Linked DNA regions of Macaca fascicularis. The protein of the gene in region 1 binds, or shares a complex with, the protein of each later gene. Links are inferred from orthologs where the notes say so. Each region holds a gene or a part of one and is shown in the gene's direction. Other genes may lie near its edges. The genes, in order: MKS1, AHI1, CC2D2A, TMEM107, TCTN1, TMEM67 and B9D1.

Region 1 (4,082 bases):
TCCGTGCTGTTGAATGTAGGACCTGACCAGAACAGAGTGGGGTGAACTCAGCCAGGCTTTTCCTGTGGGCTCACTGTTCCTCATCTCTGTATCTTGAAAATGACAGAAGTATAAATTAGAAATTATCTGGACCAACCTGTCCATTTTTCAGGTGAAAGAACTGGGTGGCAGGAATGTTGTGCCTTACAGTTTGACTATAACTTCAGGCCAGAAATGGGCCCAGAACCTATACTGTCTGAGTCTAGTCTGGTGCCCTCACTGCTTTATCCTTTTGTTTCTCTTTCCTGGTCATCAATACAGCCATTTTTATCATCATTTACTTCAAGTGAGGTGTATGGCCCCTGATCGCTTTTCCCTGGGCTGGGAGCTATCCCCAGGCCCATCTCTCATTATTAGGTCGCTCCTTTCTGTGGCTTTGACCTTACAGGATCGAGACGGAGGGAGAGAAGCAGGAGCTGTGGAAATATACGATCGACAATGTTTCCCCCCTCGCACAGCCAGAGGAGGAGGAGCGGGAACGGCGTGTGTTCAAGGATGTGAGTGCGAGTTCATTCCAAGTATCGAAGGGACGAGCCTCAGTGCCTGGAGCTGAGACCGTTTCTGGACTTGATGTCAGCAGTTGCTTGGGAAAAGCCTTGCCCTTCATAGCCCCTTCTGACTTAGGCGGCATTGCTGACATATCAGAAGTTTTTGATCATATTATAATAATAACAATAACCATTTATTTGAGCATTTACCATGTTCTGTGCTAGGTACTTTACATACCTTATTTCCTTTAGTCCTTACAACAACCCTTTGAGGTGAACACTTTTCTTATTACTACCTTATAAGTGGGGAAACCGAGATTGAGGAGCTAAGTAGTCTGCCCAAGGTTACATAGCTTGTAAGCGCGAGAGTCAGGATTCTGCCCCAGACCAGCTGACTCCAGGGCCTCTGCTTCACAGTAAAATGGCGGTGGGTCAGGTGCTTGTGCCTCCAGCTCTTGATGATCCTTCCCACTATTGCTTTTCTTCTTCTTCCTGTTCAGAACTGAACTTTGGTCTAGCTTGGGTTACATCTTGAGTTTTGGTTTGGTTTGTTTCCTCAGCTTTATGGCCGGCACAAGGAGTATCTCAGCAGCCTCGTAGGCACTGACTTTGAGATGGTGAGTAGCTTGGCTTCCTGCAGCACTGTGAGCTGTGTTTAGCCGGAGCATTCTGACTGTGGATGGGTTACAGCACTTCTCTTAAAGGCCTCCAAGGTATACTCTACGGTGTGAAAAGGAAGTCAAAGAATAGCACATATAGTCCTTGTTATGTGTTTTGCAACATTGCATGTTGATAGAGAACTGTTAATGCCGAGAAAAAGGCCTGAAAGGCTACGCATATGCTGTGGGTGGCTTTTTTGGGGAGGGTGGGATTAGATGTGGTAGATGGGTAGTGGGTAGTGAGAGGGATATATCAGGGATTTTTGCTTTTTATTCCCTAAACTCAGGTAGTTTTGAATTTTTATCAGTGGTAATGTATTTATGTATTACTTTATAATTAATTTAGAAAATAAATATAAGGATGAAAAATGTCTTCTTCACCTTTCATGTGGATATTTTTTCAAAATACCCCATAGAGAGGCAGGGGTGCCATTTCTGTTTGTCACATATTTTGGCTCTTAAAAAATATAGGCCCGACGTGGTGGCTCATGACTATAATCCCAGCACTTTGTGAGACCAAGGTGGGAGGATCACTTGAGGCCAGGAGTTTGAGACCAGCCTGGGCAACATAGTGAGACCACATCCCTACAAAAATTTAAAAAAAAAAAAAATTAGCAAGGCATGGTGATACATGCCTGTAGTCCCAGCTATGCATGATGCTGAGGCAGCAGGATTGCTTGAGCCCAGAAGTTTGAGTTTGCACTGAGCTATGATCACACCACTGCATTCCAGCCTGGACAACAGATCAAGACCCTGTCTGAAAAAAAAAAGAAAGTGGTTTAGTTCAGCTATTCTGTCGTGCTGTTCTTTGTCTTTTCTCGTTCTAAGTGTTCCATCGCTAGACCTGGAAACAAGGATAGAATTACTGGTCTCCCTCTCTTTCTCTGAAAAATTAACATTCACTGTTTCCATATTGCATAAGCAACAGATATTCAGTATTTAAAAGTTAGATAAGACAGATGCACAAATAATTAAAAAAGAAAACTCCCTGGTTTCTTGACCTCAGCTGTGTAAAGGGAACCGGGCATTCTGGCTTCCTATTGCACACCACAGGGCAGTTGCTGTTGCTTGGCTAATTTCCCATAGTGCATTGTCCTTACTGCCATTTAAATTATGTACTTTCCCCTTACATTATGTATCTTAGGAATGAAGGAAACAGATCTGTGGAGAAGTGTCAGGGTGGGGAGAAAGTGCAGTAGTGACACCCAGGATCTGACCCCCAGTGTCAGGATATCTGCAGATTTGTAGATGAGGCTGGAGGAGAAGTGCCAGTTCCCTTCAGGCCTGCTGATCCTTTCCCACTTCTCTTCACCTTAGACTGTCCCAGGTGCCCTCCGGCTCTTTGTAAATGGAGAGGTAGGTAAGTGTCTTGCTAGCATAGATCTCTTGATGCTAAGGCACGTGCCTAGATGTAGCCGTGAATAGTCTCCTCCACCCTGGTAGAGGTCTTGTCTGCTGTACTTGGGAAACTCAGTGGTGAGTCTTTCCTGGAAATGCAGAGGGTTCCTGGCCCTCAAAAGACTTGCTCTCAGGGTGTGTTGGACCCTCAGGACTGGGTTGGGTGCTAAGGGTGGTAGGATAAAAAGCTAAAATAGCTTCCTGTTTTCTCTCTTAGTTTCAGCCCAAGGCTATGAGTATGACAATCTCTACGTCCACTTCTTTGTGGAATTGCCAACTACTCGTAAGTAATATTCTTAAGTCTCTCTTTTATACCCATTCAGACAGATGTAGAGGCATTTGGTCAGGCTTCCTTTCCCACTCCTCTGCTGAAACTGTTACTGTTCTTTTCAAGGTTGTAGATCACATCCACTTTGCCAAACCCAGTGGGAACTTTCCTGCTTTCACCTCGCTTGACCTTCCTAGAGCATTTGCCAGAGCCCACTGTGCTGCATGACACACTTCTCTGGCTTCTGGCTCCACATTCTCTCTCCTGTCTCACTGGTGGCCCCTCACCTTCCTTGGGTAATGCCTTCTCTTCTGCTGATCTTACACCGTGAGGGTACCCATGGCTAAGCCAAGGCCTTCTGTTACTCTCTGTCTGCAGTCTTCCTGGGTGACCTCATCCATCCCATGGCTTAAATACCATCGATGTGTCTCAGACTCCCAGGTTTCTGCCTCCAGCCTTAGCCTGGACGCCAGACTCGTATCCAGTTACCTCTTTGTCATTTCTGTCTAACATGATCAAAGAGAACTCTGGATTCCTCCTCTTCCCTCAAACCTCTCCTCCCTGGTATTCCCCATCCTAACAGAATGGCAGTATCTGAGTTGCTGATGCCAAAAACCTAGGGGACATCCTTGATCCCTCACTTTCCCTAGCTCCCTATAGCCAGCCAACCTGTCAACAGTTCCTGTGCGTTCTGTCTTCGAAAGCTGTTGTGAACCTGTCTGTTCTCTCCAGCACCCTACACCAAGCCACCACCGTCTCTTGTCTAGGCCAATGCATTCAACTTCTGACTTATCCCCCTGCTTCCTGCCTTGCTCCCATTTGCAGTTCATTTGCCACAGACACCAAAGCCAAGTTGAGTTTTAAAAAATGTAAACAAGTTATGTCCCTTTTGAGCTGAAAACCCCCAAGAGCTTCGCCTCCCACTTAGAATAAAATGTAAACTCAATACCCTGAATGAGCCTCTGCCTATCTCTTCCGTACAACATTTCAGTCGTTCTTCCCAGCCAGGTTCATTCCCCCCTTAGAACCTTGTAAGGGCCATTTCCTTTGTCTGAAACCCTTTCTGCCATATCTTAGCATGGCTGGTTCTTTCTGAGTTTAGGTCTCAACCTGTGTCACTTCTGAAAGGCCTTCTCTTACCACCCGGCCTAAATGAGCCTCCCAGTCACTCAGTCCCTTCCCGTTTTGTTTGAATAGAGCACTCATCACTACCCAATAGTCTCTTGTTGG
Region 2 (4,674 bases), on another chromosome or scaffold:
CTGTGATATGCAGTAGTGTAAAAGGAGGAATTTTCAGGAAGAGAGAACAATATGTGTAAGGACAGGGCGTGCAAGGCTATGGATTGTTTTTCATAGTACACATAATTCAATGTTGCACAAAACTGCATGATACACATGATTCAATATTGCATAAAATTGGAACAATAAGCTAACGAGAGATGAAATTAGTCAGGGAGATGGAGCATCTTGTATCCTAGGCAAAGCAATCATTTTCTCTTACACGTTGCCTTTCAAGAATTTTCAGCAAGAGAGAGCCATTATCCGATTTACATTTTTAGTCAGGACATTCTGATAGCAGTGTGGGGAATTTTAAGAGTCAAAACTGGAGTCACAGGACTGGTAAAGCGCCCACCTGAGGAATTTAAAAAGAGAGAATGAATATGCTTTGGTATAAGATGCATTTAGGATACTCTACAGTTCTTACTAAAACACTGGGAGCAAGTGTTTGACACTTGATAGTGCAAGATTACAGCAAGATAGTGGTGGCTTACAGCAAGATAGAAATCTAGGAGAGTAGGTTTAGAATGCAAAGTTGAACAGCTCAGTTTGGTACACAGCGGATTAGTAATCTTTCTCGTTGCTTCCTCAAAGGATTTAGGGAAGCACATGGCATAGAGATATAGTTTGTAAGGTGTGGCAATGCCAGTGAGAATGGAAAAGCTGGCCTCCGTAAACTCTCTCTCTGTACAAACGAAGCAACAGGTTACAGCGCGTGGCTGTAGGTACAGGAAATGGCGTGTATTCATGAGTCCACGAGTAGCGCAACTAGTATTTTTCCAGCCCTGGTGACTCAGAGCTGAAGATGGCGCCTGCGGCAGAAATCAGAAAAGTGGGAGGGAGCATTAGGTACAGAAAAGTATGGCGTTTTAACTTTTGTTTTCCACACACAGGGAGATAGCTCTAAAGGAATCGTGCATAATTTTTTCTTAAGATTTTGTCTGTAGTACAACTTCATTTTCCACGCTTTAAAATCATGTTTTCTTTTGTGGGCGCGACCGCGTGGGGAGTGACAAATCTGTTTCTTTGCCTCATTCATTGATTTTCTTATTTTGGGCGACTTCCATAACAGCCTCCCCAGTTTTCCTTTGCCCCGTCAGTTTTTCCCTGCGCTTGCTACAATTCTAAGGCGGAAAGAGTATTTTTGGAGGTGAGGGCGGGGAAGACTCAAGCTCTGTGGGAGCACCCGCGCATTTCCGACTCCCTTCCCGCTCGCACGGCCTCGGAGGCTGGAGGCCGGTAAGGTCCCCGAAGCGCGCGCCCACCAACAGCCTGAGGGCCCCGGTGCAGGCGCCGCGCGGCCCCTTCTCCCGGGCTGAGGCGAAGGCGGTGGCGGCGCGGGGACGGGGGCGGGGGCGGGGCCGCGGTCCGGGCCTAGCGCGCGAGACGCGTCGGTCGCCATGGGAACGGCGGTGTAGGCAGGCGCTGACGTCAGCAGGCCGCGAGTCGTCCGCACTGCGGCACAGAGCAGTGGCTTGCTCTCCGAACCCGGGTCGCTGGCGGGTAAGGTGGCTTCGTGGCCGCCTCACTTAGCGCCCGCGCCGCTGGGCGCGGGGGAGTCGATTTGCACTGTTCCGGGTGTCGGCTTGGGCGGGACGGACGGTTCTGCCTACTCCTCCTCTCCGTAAGTACCTCGTGGGTTCGCTGGTGGCGGGAGCGCGGGCCGGGGTGCTGGGCCTGCCCGGCCCTCTCCGGGGCGGCGTGTCGGGGCTGCTGGAGTCCGAGAGCGCGGGGGCTGATCGCGGATTGACCGGGGAGCGTGGGCCGGGTGTCCCGGAGGAATGCGATTTCCCGGAGTCCTCAACGTACTTTTCCGCTTCTTTCACTGGTCTCGGTGTCTCCGGAGAGTTGAGCATGGTGTTCTGATAGGGAATTCAATCTTTGCCTTTCCTACTCCCGATTCTTGTTTAAATGCTTTTAAATCAGATGCGTACTGAGTGTGTTTATTTCCTTTTAGAGTGTCATCCTGGGGCTGAATCTTCAACCTGTCAAAGCCTACTTAATTACGTCTGAGAAAAGGTGATCAATTTGTTAAACTTATAAGAGCCAGATTATATTAATAGGGTTGTTTCGAGATGCATAAAAATAGAATAAAAATGTAGACCATTTAAGCATCCTTATCAAAGGTTGTGCTGCGTTTGGCATTCCTGTGAAAACATCTAATGTGAAAATAAAGTTTTTCCCTTTTGAGAAAGAGATGCCAACAGTTTTTTCACCTGTTGCATTAGCAGTTACTGTTATTGCTTGGGTTAGGAGGAAGATTGCTTCTTATGAGTACTCTGGGAAATTTTTTAAAGAATGCTTGAAAAAATTAAAATACCAAAAGTGTTATTAAACCATACTTAGAATCTTGTTTATGAAGAATAATATTTATGAAGTTAGAATCTTGTGTACTTATGAAGAATCTTGTTGATCTATTCATTGAATTTTGTGTACAGGATTTTTGTTTGTCTTTTTTTCCCTTGCGATAACATTTGGTTAAAGAGGGAATTATCAAGCCTCTCAATTTTTTCTCCCATTGATATTGAGTCACATATTGGCTGATAATCAGGTGGTCTGTAAAATAAAATGAGATGAGGTGTAATCCATTTAATTTTCCTACATAGTATCTCTTAGAAGCTCCTGTGAAAGGGTTTGTGAGGGAGAAGTTGTAAAATAATGGAATATATAAGATTCGGAGGTGTCTTTTAAAGTCCGACCTGAATTTTCGCAGATAATGTTACTAATTAAATATTAGTCATTAATTCTATCATATGTTTGCTGTAGTACACATTAAGATTTAGAGATGGCTGGGCACAGTGGATCAGGCCTGTAATCCTAGCACTTTGGGAGGATCAAGAGTGGGTGGATCACTTGAGGTCAGGAGTTCAGTATCCGCCTGGCTAATGTTGGTGAAAACCCATCTCTACTAAAAATACAACAATTAGCCGGGCGTGGTGGCGCACACCTGTAGTCCCAGCTGCTAGGGAGGTTGAGGCAGGGGAATTGCTTGAACCCAGGAGGCGGAGGCAGCAGTGAGCTGAGATTGTGCCACTGCACTCCAACCTGGGCAACAGAGCAAGACTTTGTCTCCAAAAAAAAAAAAAATTAGAGATTATTTCTATAATGTATTTGCTGTGTTATTAAATAATATTAGTATTTATTCAGTTGTGTATTAAGCTATTAACAGTAAATAATTCTATGATTTCTGTATTTTATTAATAATTACTTATTTTTAATACAATAATACTGGACATAAAGTAATTTTATTGCAGTGTACTCATTACTTTGCTTTTTGGTATTTTCTCCTTGCAGTACTAAAACAGGTGCCATTTTAAATTCCCAGACAAGGAAAAACCAAGGATTAGAAATTAAGTAGCTTACCCAATGCCACACATCAGTAAGTGGTGACACTGGAGGTCAAACCTGAGTCTTTTTTACTCTAGGACCGTTGCTACTGCTTCGCTTTGCTTTGCTTCTCGTGTTTTCTCTTCTCTCTCCTCTTTTCTTTCATAGTGCCAGATACATAACTATAGAGAGCATTGGCGTGGCCTCCAAAGCTAGCAGTTTGGTGGGAGACAGAACATTTAACCAGGATGAAAATTCAGGGCTGAGGTAGAGGGAGTTACAAAGATTCAGGCATCCTGGGAGCACAGAAGAGAAGTGCTTCACTGCCCTTCAAGGTGCGAATGCTCTCTAGAGAAGATACTTGCCTTCAAAGGATAATGAGGAGTTTGTTAGAGTGACAAAGGAGGAAGGACATTTTTCAGGAGAGGGGATATATGTGTAATGATACAAAAGCAAGAGAGGACGTGGCACATGTGAAGGCCTGGAGGTAGTTTCACATGGCTGGAACACAGCGTATGGTGTGAAGGGGACATTTCATAAATGGCCTTGGACCTCAATGGTAAGGACTTGATATTTTTTTCAGTGTGTGATTGGGAGCTAGGGAAGAATTTTAAGCAAAGAAATGACACCGTCACATTTGAATTTTAGAAAATTACACTGATTGCTGTATAGATGATGATTTATTTTTTAAAAGGGTAAGGTGATAGTGGCATGGAAACAATCTTAAAACAAACAGCATAATCCTTCCACAGTGTTTTTGTCCCAGAGTTACTGTCTCATGTCACTGCCTTTAGGGGTGGTGGAAAGACAGTTGGAAGAATTCTGTAAAGAATTGTCTACATGTCCCTTCTACAGGGGTCACCTTCCATTCACCCCTCAGCCCCAGCCTGCTAGGTTTCTGCCCCTCCATAAACAGCTTTGACACACGTGACTTCCTTCTTGCAGATTCAGTGGACTTTCTTCAAAACCTCCAGCCCCTTTTGATGCCACACAGTATATAGGCTACATCTCCTTTAAAACTCTTTCCTTCTGTAATGCTTCTGTCTCCCAGTTTTTTACCTGTCTCCCTGATTTTACTTTATATTGTGGGCTCTCAGGATTCTCATTGGCTTTTTATTTTCTTGCAACTATCATATTTATAAATAACTCCCAAATCTTCAGCCTAGGGTCTCCCTGCTGGATTAATAGATTGCCTAATAAACATAATATGATTATATACATAAACACAGACACACACATGTGACAGTAATAACAATTGTTCTTTTTGAAGGGTTTGCCATGTGCTAGGCATTGTGCCAAGTATTTTACTTGCATGTTCTCATTTAATCT
Region 3 (4,082 bases), on another chromosome or scaffold:
ATAATTGGCTTAATTCTCTGCTTTGCTTATAATCTCCTCCTTTGAAAAATGCCTCCCAGAAATGCACTTCTTTTACCTAGATTTATAGAAGCTCAGGAATATTTTAGCTTATACTATAACAATCGTTCTGCAAATCAGCATTCAGCTCATTCAGTGTTGCTTGAGTGTCCTCCTGACATGACAGCTAACTTCCCAAAAGCAAGTGATCTAGGAGAGAACCCAAAAAATAAGCCACACTTCCTTTTATGACCTAGTCTCAGGAGCCACACACTGTCACTTCTGCCATATTCTACTCAGGAGAAGCAAGTCACGAGGCATAGTGCACTCTCAAATGGAGGAGAATTGGGCTTCACCTGTTGATAGAAGTCTCCAGTTGTGAACATCTTCTGAGATTATGACACTTTCCACCAAAGGCCACTTCTCCCTTCCTTTTGCCTATTCACTGCCCCAGAAGCTCTGTTTTCCTAAAATCACACACATTTTAAATCACACACATTTTGAAGCCCCTTCCCTATAGTCCATGCTCTGCTCTGCCCGGACACTTTTAAAGTATTTTCATCTTCAAGGTTGATTTAGTCTTTTTGAACAAAGTTTTAGATCCTCTGTAGCCCCTTTTGCTAGCTTCCCTTTTCTGTCTTCTCTGCAGTTTTTCTCTGGGTGATTTTGCTCACCACAAAGCAGAGGTGGGGCAGGAGAAGGAAGATTACACACTGCCATCTGGTGATCTTCCTCTTTTCACTTGTTCGATGTTTCGACATTCTCTGTCTTCAAGCTAAGTTAAAAGCATGGTTTCTACATAGATTCCCTTTTTCTTTCCCTACTGTTGCGTGTACATGGGGAGGAAATATTAAGAGGCAAGTAGCTAGACTGCCATCGTTGTCTTCAGCTACCTGAAAGTCTCCACAGGATTTTAAAAGATGTTGCTCATAAATGGATACCAGGTTTAAATTTTTAAAAGAAGGAGAAAGAAAAAGAGGAAGGGGGAGAAGATGTTTGGAAAATATCCAAACAAAATCAATATATGTCAGCTAACATTTGTGATTATAGCCTCTTTGCTTTGAATTTTTAAGTGCATCATTTAATTTTATCCCCACAAAGTGCTTAGAGGTAAACTCTATTACTATAACCATCTTATAAGTGAGGAAACTGAGGATCAGATGGTTAAATAAGCAGTTTCAAATTCCTCAGACAGTATATGGTGAAGCTGGGATTTAAACCTAGGCAGTCTGAACAGGGTGTGTAGACTGTGCACCTATACACTTGGTGCCTTTTCCCTTGGTTTAGTGCCAGGTGGAAGGTTAAACTGCTACATAAATTATGAGCCCAATTCTTTACATAAATGGCCAAAAGTAAGCACCCTCAAAGGAGGCCATATCTGTTGGGATTTTGATTGTTTTGCTTACCACTTCTCTTCTGAAACAGCCATCTCTGATTTTGACATCTTCCAGGTGTGCAGAATAGTGCAAAACAATTTTTTTTTAAACCCACTTGTTAAATATGAAAGATTATATAGTTCTATGCTTTCATTTTTTATAAAAGGAAAAGATAAAAGTTGTAGGAAATGTTAAGTTTCATGAGTTTGGTATTGTTAATTATTTTTCTAACTAAAAATCTTAGCATGATTTTTTCTTGTTACTTTTTAACATTATGCAGGATGAGGAAGAACTGCTTAATGGTGATGATGCCGAGGACTTCCTATTGGGCTTAGATCACATGGCTGATGATTTTGTAGCAGTCAGACCTGCAGATTATGAAAGCATTCATGATCGGCTGCAGATGGAAACAGAAATGCTCTTCATACCCAGTAGGCAGACAGGTACTTGCTCTTTTTATTTTCTTGTTCAGTTTAGAAATCGTCACTTATTTTGTAATGAAATATGGCTAGTGCATAAGGATGCCTCATCTCCAGATCTGATTCCAGTTTCTAATCTGATTTAACAATCCAGAAATATCTTCAAACAAACAAACAACAACAACAAAAAAAAACACAGAACATGGAAAAATATCCATTCAACAAACACTTATTGATAGACTAATGGAAGATACACCAAAGTACTGTGGGAAGCCTTTTATCAAATCAGTGATCAGTTACAGGGGCTGAGAGTTTATGAGAACAGCCTTTCTTTCATCTTAAGTTTATCCCCACCCTTCCCTAAGTCACCATTCCCCGTGTATTTTCCTACTACTCTATGGCGTGATCTTGTAGAGACCTTTGCTTCCTGTTGCTGCCTGTCACTCCCACTACAATCCAAGCTCCAAGGCAGCAGGGGACTGGCCTGGATTCCCAGAGTCTCATCTGTGCCCGGCACAAGGAGGCTGTCAGTAAAGATGTGTTCTATGAATGAATAAAGTAGTGAATGAATAAATGAGGTAATGATCACGTTCACTCATATAAACCTGTTCATTTACAAAGCACGTCCTCATACTTTACCTCATTTAATTCTCCCAGAAGCCCAGTTAAGTAGATTATTATCTCTTTTGTACAGGAGGAGAGAGTTCAAAGAAGTGCCTGGCCCCAATTCACCCAGCTGAAAAGTAATAAAGCTAAAACTTGTCCCTTGTCCTATGATTTGAATACTACCTTCTTCTCAGTATGCCACACTGATGAGTTACATATTAAATTATTTAGGTATTTTCTTTAAATACCTGATTCTACAACATACTCCTATAAGTGAGCACATTCATCTTTCCCTTGGTTCTGCTTTTAAAAATTAATTTGGAAAATTTGCATTTTCTAAAAACATAAATGAAATCTCTAGTGATTAATTCACCAAAATGCAGTTTGAGATATTTAGATTGGTCCTAATGTTTTATTTATTTATAAACTATCTAGTCCCTACATATAAAAAGCTTCCTGAGAATGTACAGCCCAGGTTCCTGGAAGATGAAGGCCTTTACACTGGGGTAAGACCAGAGGTGGCACGCACCAATCAGAACATCATGGAGAACAGATTGCTGATGCAGGATCCCGTAAGTGTGCACGTTCTGCTCCCAAGTGTGGCCTGGGTGCACTAGACATAGCTTTTATTTTCCTAACAGGGCAGTCATTGCATCCACTGTACTCATTTCCTCTTGAGGTTATCCACAGAAAGTGGTTCAATTTTTGTTTTAACTTTCTCTCTCAGTACATTTATTGATCCTCAAATAACACAACTTCTCAACTGCTCAAAATCCATCTTTGCTAGCTGAATCTGTGTTTTTCCTGCTAAACCAGATGCTGGCAACCTTTTCGTACTTGACAGAATTTTTAAATTATCCATAGGTAGAATAGTCTCAATTTTGAGTTTTTATCCTGCGTTTTTTTTTTTTCTTAAATGTTTAATGAATAGAAAATAAATTTTTCTTAAGCATTCATTTAAGTTCTTTAAAATACTATTTAGGGAGCCAGGGTGTACATTTTAAATCAGTTGTGAGAGGCGTTAGTGAAGACTTGATTTCTAATGGAAACAGACTTTTACAGTTCTGTTGGGGGAGGAGGTACATGAAATATATATGTTGACACAGAATTTTCAAGAAACGTTGTTTGTGTTATAAACCATTTTCTGTTCAATTAGAAGAGAATGTTGTCATTCCCTCTGCTTCACCTACAGGAAAGAAGATGGTTTGGAGATGACGGTAGGATCCTAGCTCTGCCAAACCCCATCAAGCCATTTCCTTCGAGGCGGCCAGTACTAACACAGGAGCAGAGCATTAAGGCAGAGCTTGAAACACTATATAAAAAGGTAGACACTCCCCTCTCTCCACTTTTATTACATGAAATTGAAAGTGCTTTGCTTTTTGAATAGCTTGGGGTGCTATGTTTATAACATTCCACTTTAATTTTTTAAAATAATTCACAATCTTACACATAAAGAACAAACATCAGGCATATTACGTAAGAGTAAGTCTAATTATACTCAATGAATCCCTTCTTAAACAAGGAGTGAGTTTCCTAGCTAGGAATGACTGAGTTAGGATCTTTTTTCACGCATCCTGGTTAGCTACCCTTATTTTTCTTCTTTTGCCCTCTCTTTTCCCTTGTCATCTCACATTTGCTGCAGGACCACTTCCCATTTGTTGTCTCTTTATTATATGGCTAGAGA
Region 4 (4,738 bases), about 40 Mb from region 1:
TCTGTTTCCCAGGCGGGAGTGCAGTGGCACGATCTTGGCTCACTGCAACCTCCGCCTCCCGAGTTCAAGCAATTCTCCTTCCCTCAGCCTCCTGAATAGCTGGGATTACAGGCGCGCGCCACCATACCCGGCTTTTTTTTTTTTTTCAGTAGAGATGGGGTTTCACCATGTTGGCCAGGCTGGTCTGAAACTCCTGCCCTCAGGTGATCTCCCTGCCTCGGTCTCCCAAAGTGCGGGGATTATATGCGCGAACCACCACTCCCGGTCAATTTCTGGCCAAAGTTTCTAAAATAAAGTTTAAGAATAAATGCCCTATTTTTATAGAATTATAAATGCCCTACTTTTATAGAATTATAATTCTAGCGTTTCCTTTTTTTTTTTTTTTTTTTTTTTTGAGACGGAGTTGTGCTCTTGTTGCAGAGGCTGGAGTGCAATGGCACGGCTCACTGCAACCTCCACCTCCCGGGTTCAAGCGATTCCACTGCCTTAGTAGCTAATCGAGTAGTAGTAATCGAGTAGCTGGGATTACAGGCACGCGCCACCACATCCGGCTAATTTTGTATTTTTAGTGGAGATGGGGTTTCAGCATGTTGGTCAGGCTTGTCTCGAACTCCTGACCTCAGATGATCCGCCCTCCTGGGCCTCCCAAAGCGCTGGGATTACAGGCGTGAGCCACTGTGCCTGGCCCGCGTATCCCTGTTTGTAGCACCTATTATCTTACGGATTTATTTGTTTGCATGTCTGTTGTTGATCTCCCTGACTAGAATACTATTACTAGGTAATAAATAAATATATAAAAATATTTGTTGAAGGAATGAGAAATGCCTCTTGGGCTTGTACTTTAGTCTGGCTAAAGGCACTGAGACGTCGAGTGGGAAGTAGGAAGATATTGTTCTCCTGGGAAATGGGCCGGGAGTTTCCTTGAGGATGGGACTTGACTGAGCAATTAGAGAAGAACTTTCAGATCTGCAGGGACCTGCGCTGAGGCCCAAAGGTCATGACGTCGCCGGTGATAAGAGCTTCCTGGACTGTAGCTGGGCAATGTCGGAGGTCCAGCACCTCCAAGAGATAAAGAAATCTAAGTTGAGTTTCCCTTCCCGTAGGCTCCAAGCCTCCCAGAGACGCAGGGACTGTACCATTCCCTTCGTCCACTCCCACCTTTCCAGCCACCTTGCTTTGCTCTTATTCCCACGCTAGTTTAAGGACGCGGACCACTTTTTGCACTCTGCAAATCCTTCACCAAACTGAGCAAAGTAGTCTGAGAGAAATCAGTCTTCCTCAAGGAAGGTTCAGGCCTAGGGTCCTCAGACAACCAGGGGCTCTGTGACAATCTGTAACTGCCGAGCAGTCCAGGAACACCGGCCTCTCCACGTTCGGGTCCCTTGTTTCTCAGGCCCAGCTTGGTGGGAAGTTAAAGGCATGAGGAGAGGAGGAAGGGGAGCGGGTGTGAGTCTTCGGCATGGCGGGGACCTCAGCCCGGCGTGGCGGTGGGAGTGATCTCAAGTGATCCACAACTGGGCAGCGTAGCTGGGGCTGGGGGCCGCTCCCGGCGTGGGCAACCGCGGAAGCAGAGGTGTCCCCAGGCTAGGCCAGGGTGGGTTTCCGTTCGTCGGCCCTGCGTGGGCAGATCGGGCGCTGCGCGGCTGTGCCACCCCTCACCCTCTGAGAAACAAAGGGCCTGGCTGCGCACGGGTACCCAGCCATTGGGTTAGAAGCTCCTTCGGGTACCCCTGACCTGAGTTAGCCCTGAAAGACCCACAGCAGATGGAGAATGTACTGCTCTCGCGAGGTTTTCCGAGAACGCGGCAGCACGCCCGCGTACGCGGTTACCAAGGCAACTGGGCGGTGCCTGAGCTGGCGGAAAGGAGGAGTTCGTCTAGATTTGTCCGCTTGCTGGTGGACTTGCGGGAGTCGCAGTCTCTGAACTTCCAGCCTCAGAGACCGCCGCTCTTGTTCCCAAGGGCCATGGGCCGGGTCTCAGGGCTTGTGCCCTCTCGCTTCCTGACGATCCTGGCGCATCTGGTGGTCGTCATCACCTTATTCTGGTCCCGGGTAAGACCCACGGCTGCCCTCCGTCCGCCCCCATTCCCATCTCGGAGTCGTCCCCGCCCCACCCTGCCCCTCTCCCAGTGTCTTACCCACTTGGGTTTTCTCGTGTTCCGCCGTCCCTAGGCCTGCCCAGCAGCCTGCCCCTTTTTCACTTCTCTTCCTCTCTGCCCTGCTCCCAGGACAGCAACATTCAGGCCTGCCTGCCTCTCAGGTTCACCCCCGAGGAGTATGACAAGCAGGACATTCAGTGAGCTCTTAGGACGGGGTGGCCAGAACGAAGAGGTGGTGGGAGTGGAGGGGTCTTAGAAGAAGTCCAAAGGCCTGAGCCAGTCCACTTCCTCTCTGCAGGCTGGTGGCCGCGCTTTCTGTCACCCTGGGCCTCTTTGCAGTGGAGCTGGCCGGTTTCCTCTCAGGAGTCTCCATGTTCAACAGCACCCAGAGCCTCATCTGTATCCTTTCTGCCTGCCCACCTTTCCCACACGACCCATTTCTATCAGGACTCCCTTCAGCCACCTGACACAATAGTGTCTGCTGTAGCCAGTCTCTCCAGTTCAAAGATCTTCAACCATGTGCTAAATCCTGCTGTTTACTAGGCACTTAAAATTCCGAAATGAGAGTAAAATACAGTTTTTGGCCAGGCACGTTGGCTCACGTCTGTAATCCCAGCACTGTGGGAGGCCCGCGCAGGAGGCAACATAGTTAGACCCCGTGTCTACAAAATAAATAGTAATAATAAAAACTCCACTTTTTTTTTTTTTAACCATGAGGAGGAGGTAGATACACATCTGTAATTCAGTGTGATAAGCAGTGTGCTATGGGAGTGTGTAAAGATAGCACAGGCAGGGTGCGATGGCTCATGCCTGTAATGCCAGCACTTTGGGAGACCGAGGCAGGTGGATCACCTGAGGTCAGGAGTTCAAGACCAGCCTGACCAACATAGTGAAACCCTGTCTGTACTAAAAATACAGAAATTAGTCGGGCGTGGCGGTGCACTCCTGTAATCCCAGCTACTCAGGAGGCTGAGGAAGGAGAATTGCTTGAACCCAGGAGGCAGAGGTTGCAGTGAGCTGAGATCGTGCCACTGCACTCCAGCCTGGGCGACAGAGCAAGACTCTGGCAAAAAACGAAAGATATAAAGCACATTGGGAACTCAGAAGAGGCAACGGAAGCCAGGCACATGGGTCAGAGAATTGTGGACCAGGAGGACCAGGACACTGGAGGCTGATTCCAGCGCATATCAAGTCGCTGTCAGCACTCCTGTGTGGCATAGCAGGAGAGCCTACTCTTACCTCTCATCTGAAGGATCCAGGCTGGCCCCTAGATATGGAGTAGGGTAGCCTGAGATCCCATCTGCGCAGTCACTTCTGGTCTCTCCTCACATGACTGTCCTAAAATTCAGAAGTCGGGGATGCTGACTCTAGCCCTTGCAATATGGTGAGGGAGCAAACGATGAACCTGAATGCAGATGCCAACCCCACCACTGGCCTTTGGCCTTTTCTGACCCCTCACTATCTGTCGATCCAAAGACTTTCCTTAACTCTGGTGCCTTCCCAAGCCATTGGGGCTCACTGTAGTGCATCCGTGGCCCTGTCCTTCTTCATATTCGAGCGTTGGGAGTGCACTACGTATTGGTACATTTTTGTCTTCTGCAGGTGTGGTAGCATCCAATATTCGGGAATGAGGGAGGAAGGCTGACCCTAAACCTGAGGGTTTTTCCCCCACCCAGCCCTTTCCTCTATGTGTGAGATACCAGATCCACTTAACATCCTGTAGTCTTTTGAATTTTCATTCCCTACCCCATGCCACCTGTCCTACACTTTCAGGGGTGGGGTCTCTGGTTTGGAGATTTGGGTATTTATATTGAAAGGGTTTCTGAATTTACCACTTGCCTCGGTAGTGCCCTTCCAGCTGTCACTGAAATGACTTTATTCGTCACCGTCTTTGGGCTGAAAAAGAAACCTTTCTGAGCACCTTCATGACGGGAACCTAAGGACGAAGGCTACAGGGGCAAGGGCCGCTTCGTATTCCTGGAAGAAGGAAGGCATAGGCTTCGGTCCTCCCCTCGGAAACTGCTTCTGCTGGAGGATATGTGTTGGAATAATTACGTCTTGAGTCTGGGATTATCCGCATTGTATTTAGTGGTTTGTAATAAAATATGTTTTGTAGTAAGATTAAGACATATACAGTTTTCAAGGCACAATTGAGATGGCGAAACTACTGAAGAAAAAAAAAGAAGCAACGTTATTTTCTAGTTCTGCAGACCGTAAGATACTTGGTATCGCTTCTATTTTGGTTATTACGGTAGTTGTCTGGCGGAAGGGAGTGGGCGGAGATATGTAAATAGAAAGTGCTTACAGTTAGAACGTCCAGCACGTAAATGATCGGAGCATTCTGGGAAAAAGAAATGTATTCCTTTTCGGCAGCCGAATGAAAAAATTCTTTTAAAAATGTGCAAGCAAATATGGCAATACAACTGGAAGGATGCTAAGTAGTAGGGTTACTCATACCAACGCGTCGTGAACTCACCCTAGCTGTAAACGGAATCTTTTTGACTGAGTGCGGAATGTCGGCTCTTTAGAAATATCGTCAGGTGGGATAATCCTTACCTGTTCCTCTTTTGGAGGGCAGATGAGAACATGATGATTGGAGAATGCATGAAACGTGATTAACGTCTCTGCGTAATCAGGAC
Region 5 (4,530 bases), on another chromosome or scaffold:
GGCTAGGAGTACAGGTGTGAGCCACTGCGCCTGGCCATGTCTAAGTAGTTTGACATCTACTTCTGAATTGTACAGAGATTAAGTGTCAAAGGTGCAGCCAACATCCCTGGGCTTGGGTACCTCCTAAATAAGCCCATTCAGAATGGACAGGCTTTCCTAAATCTTAGGGTCTCCAGGTCATTTTGTAGCATTACAGTGGATTTGCTTTGTTTTCCCCTTTAAGATGTCTAAATTATTTTACTTAATTTTTGTGAAAGATTTTTGTCTTTAAAAAAGTTCTTAGGCCTGGCGTGGTGGCTCATGCCTGTAATCCCAGCTCTTTGGGAGGCTGAGGTGGGAGGATCACTTGAGGTCAGGAGTTTGTGACTAGCCTGATCAGCATAGTGAGACCCCTCGCTACAAAAAATAATGATAATAAAAGTTATTAAGTGTTCATTTGTCCCCTTTATCACAATACAGCAGACAGAAGTTATGTGGCAACCTTGTGAGATGCAGCTAAAACAAAAAAGGTGAAGCCAGTGTTGACAGAGTCTGGGATAGAGAGAATTCAGGGACAGTGATCTCACAGATCCCTATGCTCCTTTGAAACACCCACATTAGTGGTGTTGAGACGGCGCTTCCCAAATTTCCATCCAACTCATCTGCTTGTGTCGGGACATTTGTTAAAAATATTTATTCCTGGCTGGGAGTGGTGGCTCATGCCTGTAATCCCAACTACTCAGGACTCAAGAGGCTGAAGCAGGTGGATCACTTGAACCCAGGAGTTTGAGACCAGTCTGGGCGACGCCTGGGAGGGAGACCCGGGCGACGGAGGGAAACCTCGTCTCTACAAAAAAATACAAAAATTAGCTGGGTATGGTGGCGCGCGCATGAGTTCCCAGCTACTCAGGAGGTTGAAGTGGGAGGATTGCTTGAGCCCCAGAGGTCGAGGCTGCAATGAGCCGAGATCGAACCACTGCACTCCAGCCTGGGCGACATGTCGAGTGAGACCCTGTCTCAAAAAAATCCCCCAAAAACTGATTCCTGGGTCCTGTCCTAGCCTTACTGACTCAGGATCTCCTGAGGTGGTACCTGGAAATCCGTCTTTTTTTTTTTTTTTTTTTTTTTTTTTTGGTTGAGACAGAGTCTCGCACTGTCGCCCAGGCTGGAGTGCAGTGGCACGCTCACGGCTCACTGTAGCCTCCACCTCCTGGGTTCAAGCGATTCTCCTGCCTCAGTCTCCCGAGTAGCTGGAACTACAGAAAATCCACATTTTTTAAGTAAGCGCCGCAGACCGGTTGGGAACCACAGCTGGGATTTACACGCCTCTCGTTTATGCCAGCTTCACAGCCGCTCACTAGTGCTCGCCCTAGTGCTTGCCATCGCTGCCTCACCCAGGCTCCGCCCTCTGGCCTCATCCAGGATCCGCCCCCTGCCTCATCCAGGCTTCGCCCCCGTCAGTCTCCGGCAGCTTCTCGCGGCTTAGCAAGCCGCTTCCCGTGATGCCTCGCGCCTGGGTGTAGCGGTTGCCGGGCAACGCGCGGTCCCTGGCGCGGGCGTAGCTGGGACCCGCTGGAAGATGAGGCCGCGAGGCCTCCCGCCGCTCTTGGTGGTACTCCTGAGCTGCTGGGCCTCCGTGAGCGCCCAGACCGAGGCCACCCCGGCGGTGACGACAGAGGGCCTCAACTCCACCGAGGCAGCCCTGGCGACTTTCGGACCTTTCCCGTCGACCAGGCCCCCTGGTACTCCTAGAGCACCAGGGTCCTCCTCCGGCCCCAGGCCTACCCCAGTCACGGACGGTGGGTACTATGTGCCAGCTCCTGTGGTCCACAGGGATCCAACCTCAAGGGGGCAGCCCGGTTGAGGACGTAATAATGATAGCTAACGCTTATTGAGCACTTACTGTGTGCAGACACTAAGTGTTCCATAAACGTCCGTTCTTTAAACAATAACCCTGAGAGGTAGCTCTTACTATCACTGTCATGTAAATGAGAAAACCGGGTCTCAGAGAGTTTAAGTGGTACGGTATCAGACCTTTGAAAATACTTGAAGTGATCCCAGACAACAGTAATGCAAAGAGCAATAATGAATGAATCCTTGCAGCCCAAGACGAAATTAAGTCGAGACAATGGTGGAAATTGGTGCCTAGGCTGCATGGAACTTTCACTTAAAGAGAGGCCAAAGGTCTATCTTACTAAATGTGACTAGGTTAAGACGCTTGTCTGTTGACCTGAATTCTAAAAACCCAGGATTCCTCCTGTGTTGAATTGGAGGTGGGAAGCCATGGAGGGAGGGGTTATGCTCACTTCTTAGGAGTCATATTTAGGGATAATTAACATTTTTTTTTTCAGAAAATGATTGTCTAATTCTAGAATTACACATTTAGTGGAAATATTTTATAATCTAATTTGACGTTTGGCTGGCGCCGTGGCTCACGCCTGTAATCCCAGCACTTTGGGAGGCCAAGTCGGGTGGATTGCTTGAGGTAGGAGTTCAAGATCTGCCTGGTCAACATGGCGAAACCCAGTCTCTACTAAAAATAGAAAAATTAGCCGGGCATGGTGGTGCATGCCTGTAATCCCAGTTACTCGGGAGGCTGAGGCAGGAGAATAGCTTGAACCCAGGAGGCAGAGGTTGCCGTAATTACTACTGCACTCCAGACTGGGCGACAGAGCAAGACTGTCTCAAAAAAAAAAAAAAAAAAAAAAAATTGACGTGGATGACTTCAGAGAATGACTGTGACCCTCTAAGATTGAGTGCAAAACTTTGTGAATATGCCTTTTCCTGAGATGAGAGTTCATAGCAGCCGATTCTTAAAGTGGTTCATGATCTCAAAGTTTTTAAAATTTTCCAGTTGTGTGGATTGAGAGTAACCCCAATAGGTATGCAGTACTTTAAATCTTTTTTTCAGTCTTTTTTTTTTTTTTTTTTTTTTTTTTTGAGGCGAGGTCTCACTCTGTTACCTAGGCTGGAGTGCAGTGGCATGATTATATCTCACTTAAGTCTCAATCTACTGGGCTCAAGGGATCCTTTTGCCTCAGCCTTCAGAGTAGCTGGATCCACAGGTGTGCTCCCCCAGCTTGCTTTTTAATTTTTTTAATTTTTAGTAGAGATGAGATCTCGCTAAGTTGTTCAGGCTGATCTCAAACTCCTGGGCTCAAGTGATCCACCTTGGCCTTCCAAAGTGCTGGGATTACAGGTGTAAACAACTGTGCCTGGACTATCCCTTCTTAAGAAGATCTTTTCTCAGATTGATTAAGACTCAGTATTAGTAGGTAAAAAAGTCATCAGCTGGTATCTTGAACTCTAGAACTTAACTTCAGTTACTGAACCTTGATTTCTCCAAAAAGCTCTTTCTGAATTATGAGTAATCTGAAAGAAAAACTACAGAGAAATATATTTGCTATTTTAATATATAAACAGAGCTCTGTTTTATATTTAAATTGTTGATTTGATGAATTAGTAGGGAAGTTAAATCAGTGACAAACTGGGACAGAATGAAGCCAAGTATTCAATGTCTGAAACTCTAAGTAGTTTTTGGACTGGATTGTCTTTTATTCATGTAAGTACTCCATCTGTTAATGCATTTTCTCTCCAAAATAAAGCTATGCTTGAAACATCATTATTATAGCATGTGTTCAAGGCTGTTTTTCCATTATCGGGGATGAATTTGTACTTGTCCCCACATTTTATTTTTTTTTTGGATACAGGGTCTCACTCTGTCACTCAGGCTGGAGTGTAGTAGCATGATCACAGCTCACTGCAGCCTCGACCTCCTAGGCTCAGGTGATCTTCCCACCTCAGACTCCTGGGTAGCTGGAACTACAGGTGCATGCCACCACGCCTGGCTAATTTTTTGTAGAGATGGGGTTTTGCCATGTTGCTCAGGCTGGTCTCGAACTCCTGGCCTCAAGTGATTGCCCACCTAGGCCTCCCATAGTGCCTCCATACAGGCATGAGCCACCGCACTCTGCCTGTCGCCTGTCTTCACTTTTTTAAAGGACCTCTCTTAAGACTTGTGACAGTAATAACTCATTTGTTAACTGTTCACTTAGCACTGTGCTAAGCATTTCACCTATGATGTATCTCATTTAATCCTTACAACCTCATGAGGGTACTGTTATCCCCATTTTTCAGGTGGGTAAATTATTTGCCTAATTTTAGAACACACAACTTATAGATATTAGAGCAGGAGGCTGACTCTGAGTGGAGAACTGGATGGAACATTGCAGGTGGCTTGCAGGCAGTGTTGGTGGAGAAGAGTGATAACCCTTCATCTTGAATCTGGGCTCTGTTCATTAGTACCCTGCTCTACAAGCCAGGTGTGCAGATGCTATAGGAGGCAAGAGCAGCTGAGTGCTTCTTGGACCTGATGGGGCTCAACAGCTACTTGTTGGATGATTAAGTGCACTTGCATCCTGGGTAGAAACCTTTTTCCTAAGTGGAGTTATTAAACACTATTGCTTCGTCCTTAGTAGTCTTATAGCTACCTACAAGGGCTTTAAGTTTTGAAAACAAAGCAAGATTGTAATTTTAAACATACAGGGAACC
Region 6 (2,942 bases), on another chromosome or scaffold:
CGTGTGCCACCACACCTGGCTAATTTTGTATTTTTAGTAGAGGCGGGTTTTCACCATGTTGGCCAGGCTGGTCTTGAACTCGTGACCTCAGGTGATCTGCCCGCCTCGGCCTCCCAAAGTGCTGGGATTACAGGCATGAGCCACCGTGCCTGGCCCTATTATTTTTAATAATACAATAGTCACCTTCTTTCTTCCTGCTTTTTTTCTTCCTTTCTCCTTCAGTCTTCCTTCCTCTTCCTCCTCTTTCTAACTGTATTCTTCCATCTCTCTATCTTCTTCTTTTTTTTTTTTTTTTTGGAGATGGAGTTTCGCTCTGTTGTCCAGGCTGGAGTGCAGTGGCGCAATCTTGGCTCACTGCAACCTCCGCCTCCCAGGTTCAAGCAATTCTCCTGCCTCAGCTACTCGAGTAGCTGGAATTACAGGTGCCTGCCACCACACCTGGCTAATTTTTGTGTTTTTGGTAAAGATGGAGTTTCACCATATTGGCCAGGCTGGCCTCGAACTCCTGACCTCAAGTGACCTGCCCACCTCAGCCTCCCAAAGTGGGATTGCAGGTGTGAGCCACCGCTCCTGGCCTCACTATCTTCGTCTTCATCAAGAGCTGATGAGACTATGAGCTAAGGCAGTAGCAGTGGGGCTAGAGAAGAAAGGATTGCCAGAAATGTTAAGGGAAAAGACTAGTCAAAAATTATCCAGACTTCTGGCTGTGTGACTAAGTGGGTGGTGGTGCCTTTCAATAACAGAGGCAATACAGAAGGAGGACCAGGTTTTGAGGGAAAGAGGATGAATTTAGTTTTCAGTATGTTGCATCTTGAGGTACTTTAGGACATCTAGGAAGAGGTATCCAGTAGGCATTAAATATAAGGGACCAGGTCGTAGGAGAAAGTAGAAGCACACAATAAATTGAGGAGTTGCTATCATATGAAGTCATTGCTGGAGCAGTGTTAGTAGAAAATCACCAAGAGACAGTATGTAAAACAGGTTTATTTTTAAGATTATATATGCAAGTATAATGTGCATATTTTGTAAGGATATAACTTATAGGTCAGTGAATTTTCACAAACTGAATATACCCCTGTAACTAGTACCCTTTCAAGAGAGAACATTACCAGCACTCCAGATGCCCCCTTGTATAAAGCAGATGTTCCTAACTGGGTATCCCCGGGCTGCTTCAGTGGTTTTCTGGATTTCCCTGAAATTGTTGGCAAGACTTGTATATGTATGGTTTTTTTTTGTTTTTTTTTTTCCTGGTGGAAGGGTCTTTAGCTTTCATCAGGCTTTTGTAGTTTTTTGTTTGTTTGTTTGTTTGTTTAGAGACAGGTTTTTGCTCTGTTGCCCAGGCTAGAGTGCAGTGGTGCAATCATATTAATAGCTCGCTATAACCTCAGACTCCTGGGTTCATGCACTCCTCCCATCTCAGTCTCCCAAATAGCTAAGACTACAGGTGTGCACCACCAGATCCTTTTTCTTTTTTTTTGGTAGAGATGGAGTCTCACTATGTTGCCTAGGCTGGTCTTGAACTCCTGGCCTCAAGCAGTCCTCCTGCCTCAGCCTCCCAGAGTGCTGGAATTACAGGCATGAGACACTGTGCCCGGCCTCATCATAATCTTTTTAAAAGGGTGTTCACATCCCAATAAGGATGAAACCCGCTGGTGGAGTGAGAAGAGAACTTAGAGCAAAACCTTAAGGGGACTATTTGAAATAAATTATTGAACTCTTGAACACTGTGTACTATTCTGTGCCTTGCTGGGTTTTTTCTCTAATATACTCTATCTTAGGGAATGTTTGTAAGATTAATTTAGCTTTTAGTTACATAAAGAAATAGAGAAAGGCTATTTATTAACTGGTCTTTGAAACTTACACTACTAGCAGTTACCAACCATTGGTCCTAATGTTAAAACTGCTTTATAGGAGGTGTTATGAGTTTTTTAACTAACCTCTTTTAGATGAGCAAATCTTAAAATTTTTGTTTATTTTTAATTTAATTATTTTGTTTATTTTTGTGTAAGCCATGAATTATTGTATATAGTATGTTTCTAATGTGCTATTTTTAAATATCCAGATTTTGTCACCAGAAATTTATCACAGACTTGTTCCTTTTTTAAATTTCTAATTTATATTTTCTAAACTTTTTTAATAGATGAAGGTTATTCTTTCAGCAGTGTCCTGTATTATGGAAATGAAGCTACCCTTCTTATTTTTGATCTGCTGTTCTTCTGTGTTGTGGATTTGGCTTGCCAAAATTTTATTTTAGCATCCTTCCTTACATATCTACAACAAGAGGTAAATTTTAAAAATTTTTCTACATTTCCCTTCATTTTCTTGAGAGAAATATGTTAGAAGTAGATATTTTCATAGCAGAGAGTAACAATGTCTACTTTTACTACAATTTTGTAAAGGTTTAGAATATGACTAACCCCACCAAAAGGAGGAATAACATTTCAAACAACTGTACTCTGTCCTTTAGGGTCAATGAAATACTGAGGTCTAGTGGAGGGCATCAGTTGCTTGATTATACATGGAAGAGGAATCCTATAGGAAGACATTTAACTACTAGTCTCCTAGATGCTACAAGTGAACAGTAATTAGAGTCCCATCCACCCTCTCCACCAGATGTTAAGTAACAAAAAAACAGGCACTGGAGAGCTAGCTCAGGGCTCAGCACCAAAGGGAAGCCCCCTTTAGCCTGCAGCTTTGACACCTCGTCTACCAGTGTAGATGAAAAGCAACTTTGTGTATGAGTGTGGACCCTGAAATAGAGATCTCAAGAAATGGCAAATCTGTTCTTGAAATGGTGTTATTATCAACTAAATATTCTCCACTATGTCAAAGAAGTATATATGAGTAAGATGCAATTTATTAGTCCTTGACAGTGATCTAGAATTGTGCAGAAATTCTCTCCCTAGCGAGTAGATTCTTTTGATGTTTCCTTAGTTTTAGAC
Region 7 (3,161 bases), about 29 Mb from region 1:
TCTCCCTCTCTGATAAGGATACTTGTGATGGCCTTTAGGGTCCACCTGGATAGTTGCCTCAAGATCCTTAGCCTAATCATATCTGCAAAGTGCACGTGACCCTGTTTCTCAATAAGGTCACGTGCACGGTTTCCCAGGACTAGGATCTGCTGTCTTTGAGGGGCCGCCATTCAGCCTGCTGCAACCCCTCCAGTCTAGTCTTCACACAGCAAGAAAAACGGTGTTCCTAAAACACAATTGGGGTTGCACCCCTCGCCTGCTAGAACCCGCCCAGGCTGTGCCTCTGTCAGGATGAACTTCAACCAGAATGCTGCCAGGCTGGTAGTCGGGCCCTGCCCACGCCATGGCCTCTGCCCACTTGCTTCCCATCCGCCTCAGTTCCTCCAGCCTGAGGGGTCCTTCCCTGCCTCAGGTCCTTGCCTGGAATGCCCTCCCAGAACAGTCTGTCTTGTCTCTCCCACCCCAGCCAGCTAAGCAGACCACCCAGGTGGACCCCAGGAAAGAAATTCAGTGGGAACGGGAGCTCCATGTGAGCGCCGGGCTGGGATCTGCTGGGCACAGTGGGGACGCTTCCAGGCCCCTGTCCTCACACACAGCCTCCTGTGAGGTGGGTGCTGTGACAGCCTCACTCTCCCGAAGGAGAAACTGGCGCAGGGGTTGTGGCTGCCCATCCCTTCCCCCTGGGGAGCGCCCGCTGGCTTTCACTCCCTGGCTTCCTCCTTGGGGTTGGGGGCTGGTGGGCAGTGCTCCCTGGCTGTGGTCTCCACAGGCCAACTCTGCAGCAGCCGGGAGCCCCTTCCTGCCCTGGGCCCCTCTGCAGCAGCCCCAGGTGAGCGCTGGTGCCCACCTCAGAGACAGGAGGGCGGTGTGTGGGCTGTTGCGTCGCCACGGTTGCCAGTGACCCTCGGGGGCTGGGTGTGTCCTTGCGGGGGGCCCTGGGAGCTGTGGTGCAGGGGAGGCGGGGCCGCGAGTCCCGGCGGGGCGAAGCCCGCGGCTGCCGGACCCACCCGGCCGGGAATAGTGCTCCTGGTTGTTTCCGGCTCGCGTGGGTGTGTCGGCGGCGGGGCCTGACACCCCCGGCCTCCTGGCCTCCCGCCCGGCCCGACTGGGGTCTGGGGCTAGGGAGGGCACATGCTCAGCCTGGTGGCTGTGGGCCACCCCTGGCAGGGCCTGCGGTGGGTGCCAAGATGGGAAGTGACATGTCCTGGACCCCACACTAGTGGGAGGCAAGGCTGAGGAGGCCAGTTCGGGCCCTTCTGCCCACCCCACAGACTCTCTGGGGTAGGGTCCCCCCTTCCAGGAAGGCTGGAGGGTCACACTGTCCCCGCCCCTCCCCCACCTCAGCTGCTGTCACTTTTCTGGGATTTCTGGGGGTTCAGGCAGCACCCCCACCCCAGAATCTCCCTGAGCTCTCATTCCCAGTGAACCAAACCCATGGAAGCCAGAGACGGAAAAGCCTAACCGGCCAGCGGAGGCAGCGTGGCCCACAGAGCGCCTGAGGCCTGGCTAGGCTGTGTGACCCCGGCAAGGGACAGCACCACGCTGGAGCCCGGCCACCAGGAAGGCTCTGCTTAGGGCCTGACTCCTGGTGGGGGTGGGGTGCAGCTGGAGCAGGAGTACTGGTTTCTGAACAGAGAGCCTACATCCAGCATTGTCCAAGGCCAAGAATGCCCGGGTGGGGCCCTGCTCACCTGTGTTCTTCTGTGTTCCCAGCTGGTTCATGGGGCGGCGACCCGAGTACACAGACCCCAAGGTGGTGGCTCAGGGTGAAGGCCGGGAAGGTAAAGCTCCCTCCCCTCCTCTACCCTCAGCCCCCAGACAGGTTAGAACCTGGGAGTAGATGGGCCCAGGGTTGGGGTGAATGCTGGGGACCTGCCAGGCACATGGGAGCTAGCCCACAGATGTTCCCAGATGAGGGCCTGGTTGGAGCACAGAGGGTTTGTCATGTCTGCCTGTCCTGGCAGCCCCTTTACCTCCCAGTGAGGGACATGGGTCAGGCGCTGTTGTCCCCATTTTACAGATGAGAACACTGAGGCTGAGAGATTCCCAGATCAACCTGGGTCTGTCTCTGCCCCATCCCAGCCTGACTGATGCTGTCCTTCTGTCCCCAGTGACCCGTGTCCGTTCTCAGGGCTTTGTCACCCTCCTCTTCAACGTGGTGACCAAGGACATGAGGAAGCTGGGCTACGACACTGGGCCTTTGGACACACAGGGTGTGTCGCGGCCCAGCCCACCCCAGGGCTTCCCCCAGTGAAGGCTCCCCAGGCTGCAGAGTTTCTGATAATGAAGGGCTGCCTTCCCGGAGTCAGGCGGCTGGCCATCAGCCTGAAGGGCAGCCTGGTGGTGGGAGCTGGGGGCACACAGAATAGTTTTATATAATAAAGTCTCATTTTCAGAGAGCCTAGGCCTGGGGCTGCCTTCTCTCCTGTTTAGCCCCTCCCCCACAGGAGCTGGGAGCTCTTGGGCCTTTCCTGGCCCCACCTCCAGGGCCCTCCCTGTCCCTACCCCTTGTGCCATGGAAGCTGCCAGAAGACCAGACCGTGCAGCAGGATGGCATCTGGGATGGGAGCTTTGACATCACCAGGTTCTGCCACTCACAGCTGTGGCCTTTTCTATACCTCAACACATTGTTCCTTGAACTGGGCATGGCACCCTCCTTGGAGGCTTGGGGGTTAAGTAGAATCACCCACTCAGCCATGCTCCTGGCCACCAGCCTCCCTTGGCAAGGAGAGAACCCTGTTATCGGGAGCTGGATGGTGAGGTACCTGGGGGACAGCAGACCCTCAGGCTGCCCACTCCCCTCTCTGCTCCTCCCTACCCACAGTCCAAGGATGGGGGCTCGAAATCTCCCAGAGGTGGGAGGCTGCTGGCTGGGGTCGCAGGAGAGGAAGGTGAGCCCCCTGGCTCAACACCCTGACCTCTAAGGTTGTCCGGGCCCTTCTGGAAGCAGAACCCCTTTAGCATTACTTTGGGGGCCCTGGCCCTGGGCCTCCCTACCTTCCCAAGAATCCCTGGCACCTCACGAGGCAGCCCTGGGCCCTCTCTGTCCTGCCACTGAGCTTTAGGCAGACATGGTGCCCCAGCCTGGATACTGCCCTCAGCGGGATCCAAAAGAAACCACAGGCTCCTGGCACACCCCCACCTCCCAGCCTCGCCCATGT

The links.
Region 2: MKS1 (region 1) and AHI1 share a complex: the UniProt entries of both Homo sapiens proteins name them as parts of the tectonic-like complex. The link is inferred for Macaca fascicularis from reciprocal best matches to the Homo sapiens genes MKS1 and AHI1.
Region 3: MKS1 (region 1) and CC2D2A share a complex: the UniProt entries of both Homo sapiens proteins name them as parts of the tectonic-like complex. The link is inferred for Macaca fascicularis from reciprocal best matches to the Homo sapiens genes MKS1 and CC2D2A.
Region 4: MKS1 (region 1) and TMEM107 share a complex: the UniProt entries of both Homo sapiens proteins name them as parts of the tectonic-like complex. The link is inferred for Macaca fascicularis from reciprocal best matches to the Homo sapiens genes MKS1 and TMEM107.
Region 5: MKS1 (region 1) and TCTN1 share a complex: the UniProt entries of both Homo sapiens proteins name them as parts of the tectonic-like complex. The link is inferred for Macaca fascicularis from reciprocal best matches to the Homo sapiens genes MKS1 and TCTN1.
Region 6: MKS1 (region 1) and TMEM67 share a complex: the UniProt entries of both Homo sapiens proteins name them as parts of the tectonic-like complex. The link is inferred for Macaca fascicularis from reciprocal best matches to the Homo sapiens genes MKS1 and TMEM67.
Region 7: MKS1 (region 1) and B9D1 share a complex: the UniProt entries of both Homo sapiens proteins name them as parts of the tectonic-like complex. The link is inferred for Macaca fascicularis from reciprocal best matches to the Homo sapiens genes MKS1 and B9D1.

The regions. Positions count from the first base shown.
Region 1 is NC_088390.1:48,499,891-48,503,972, forward strand, and holds part of MKS1 (tectonic-like complex member MKS1), read left to right. Parts: intron 1-427; coding exon 428-536; intron 537-1,087; coding exon 1,088-1,144; intron 1,145-2,503; coding exon 2,504-2,546; intron 2,547-2,801; coding exon 2,802-2,867; intron 2,868-4,082. UniProt on the Homo sapiens protein: Component of the tectonic-like complex, a complex localized at the transition zone of primary cilia and acting as a barrier that prevents diffusion of transmembrane proteins between the cilia and plasma membranes.
Region 2 is NC_088378.1:39,536,791-39,541,464, reverse strand, and holds the start of AHI1 (jouberin), read left to right. Parts: upstream 1-1,459; 5' UTR 1,460-1,642; intron 1,643-1,975; 5' UTR 1,976-2,037; intron 2,038-3,513; 5' UTR 3,514-3,904; intron 3,905-4,674. UniProt on the Homo sapiens protein: Involved in vesicle trafficking and required for ciliogenesis, formation of primary non-motile cilium, and recruitment of RAB8A to the basal body of primary cilium.
Region 3 is NC_088379.1:14,671,059-14,675,140, forward strand, and holds part of CC2D2A (coiled-coil and C2 domain-containing protein 2A), read left to right. Parts: intron 1-1,653; coding exon 1,654-1,816; intron 1,817-2,833; coding exon 2,834-2,970; intron 2,971-3,590; coding exon 3,591-3,722; intron 3,723-4,082. UniProt on the Homo sapiens protein: Component of the tectonic-like complex, a complex localized at the transition zone of primary cilia and acting as a barrier that prevents diffusion of transmembrane proteins between the cilia and plasma membranes.
Region 4 is NC_088390.1:8,261,319-8,266,056, reverse strand, and holds TMEM107 (transmembrane protein 107), read left to right. Parts: upstream 1-1,840; 5' UTR 1,841-1,965; coding exon 1,966-2,052; intron 2,053-2,228; coding exon 2,229-2,296; intron 2,297-2,379; coding exon 2,380-2,498; intron 2,499-3,338; exon of another isoform or gene 3,339-3,437; intron 3,438-3,604; coding exon 3,605-3,701; intron 3,702-3,946; coding exon 3,947-4,016; 3' UTR 4,017-4,218; downstream 4,219-4,738. UniProt on the Homo sapiens protein: Plays a role in cilia formation and embryonic patterning. Requires for normal Sonic hedgehog (Shh) signaling in the neural tube and acts in combination with GLI2 and GLI3 to pattern ventral and intermediate neuronal cell types.
Region 5 is NC_088385.1:117,497,695-117,502,224, forward strand, and holds the start of TCTN1 (tectonic-1), read left to right. Parts: upstream 1-1,531; 5' UTR 1,532-1,558; coding exon 1,559-1,778; intron 1,779-4,530. UniProt on the Homo sapiens protein: Component of the tectonic-like complex, a complex localized at the transition zone of primary cilia and acting as a barrier that prevents diffusion of transmembrane proteins between the cilia and plasma membranes.
Region 6 is NC_088382.1:103,464,224-103,467,165, forward strand, and holds part of TMEM67 (meckelin), read left to right. Parts: intron 1-2,140; coding exon 2,141-2,283; intron 2,284-2,942. UniProt on the Homo sapiens protein: Required for ciliary structure and function. Part of the tectonic-like complex which is required for tissue-specific ciliogenesis and may regulate ciliary membrane composition.
Region 7 is NC_088390.1:19,085,175-19,088,335, reverse strand, and holds the end of B9D1 (B9 domain-containing protein 1), read left to right. Parts: intron 1-1,713; coding exon 1,714-1,781; intron 1,782-2,111; coding exon 2,112-2,254; 3' UTR 2,255-2,395; downstream 2,396-3,161. UniProt on the Homo sapiens protein: Component of the tectonic-like complex, a complex localized at the transition zone of primary cilia and acting as a barrier that prevents diffusion of transmembrane proteins between the cilia and plasma membranes.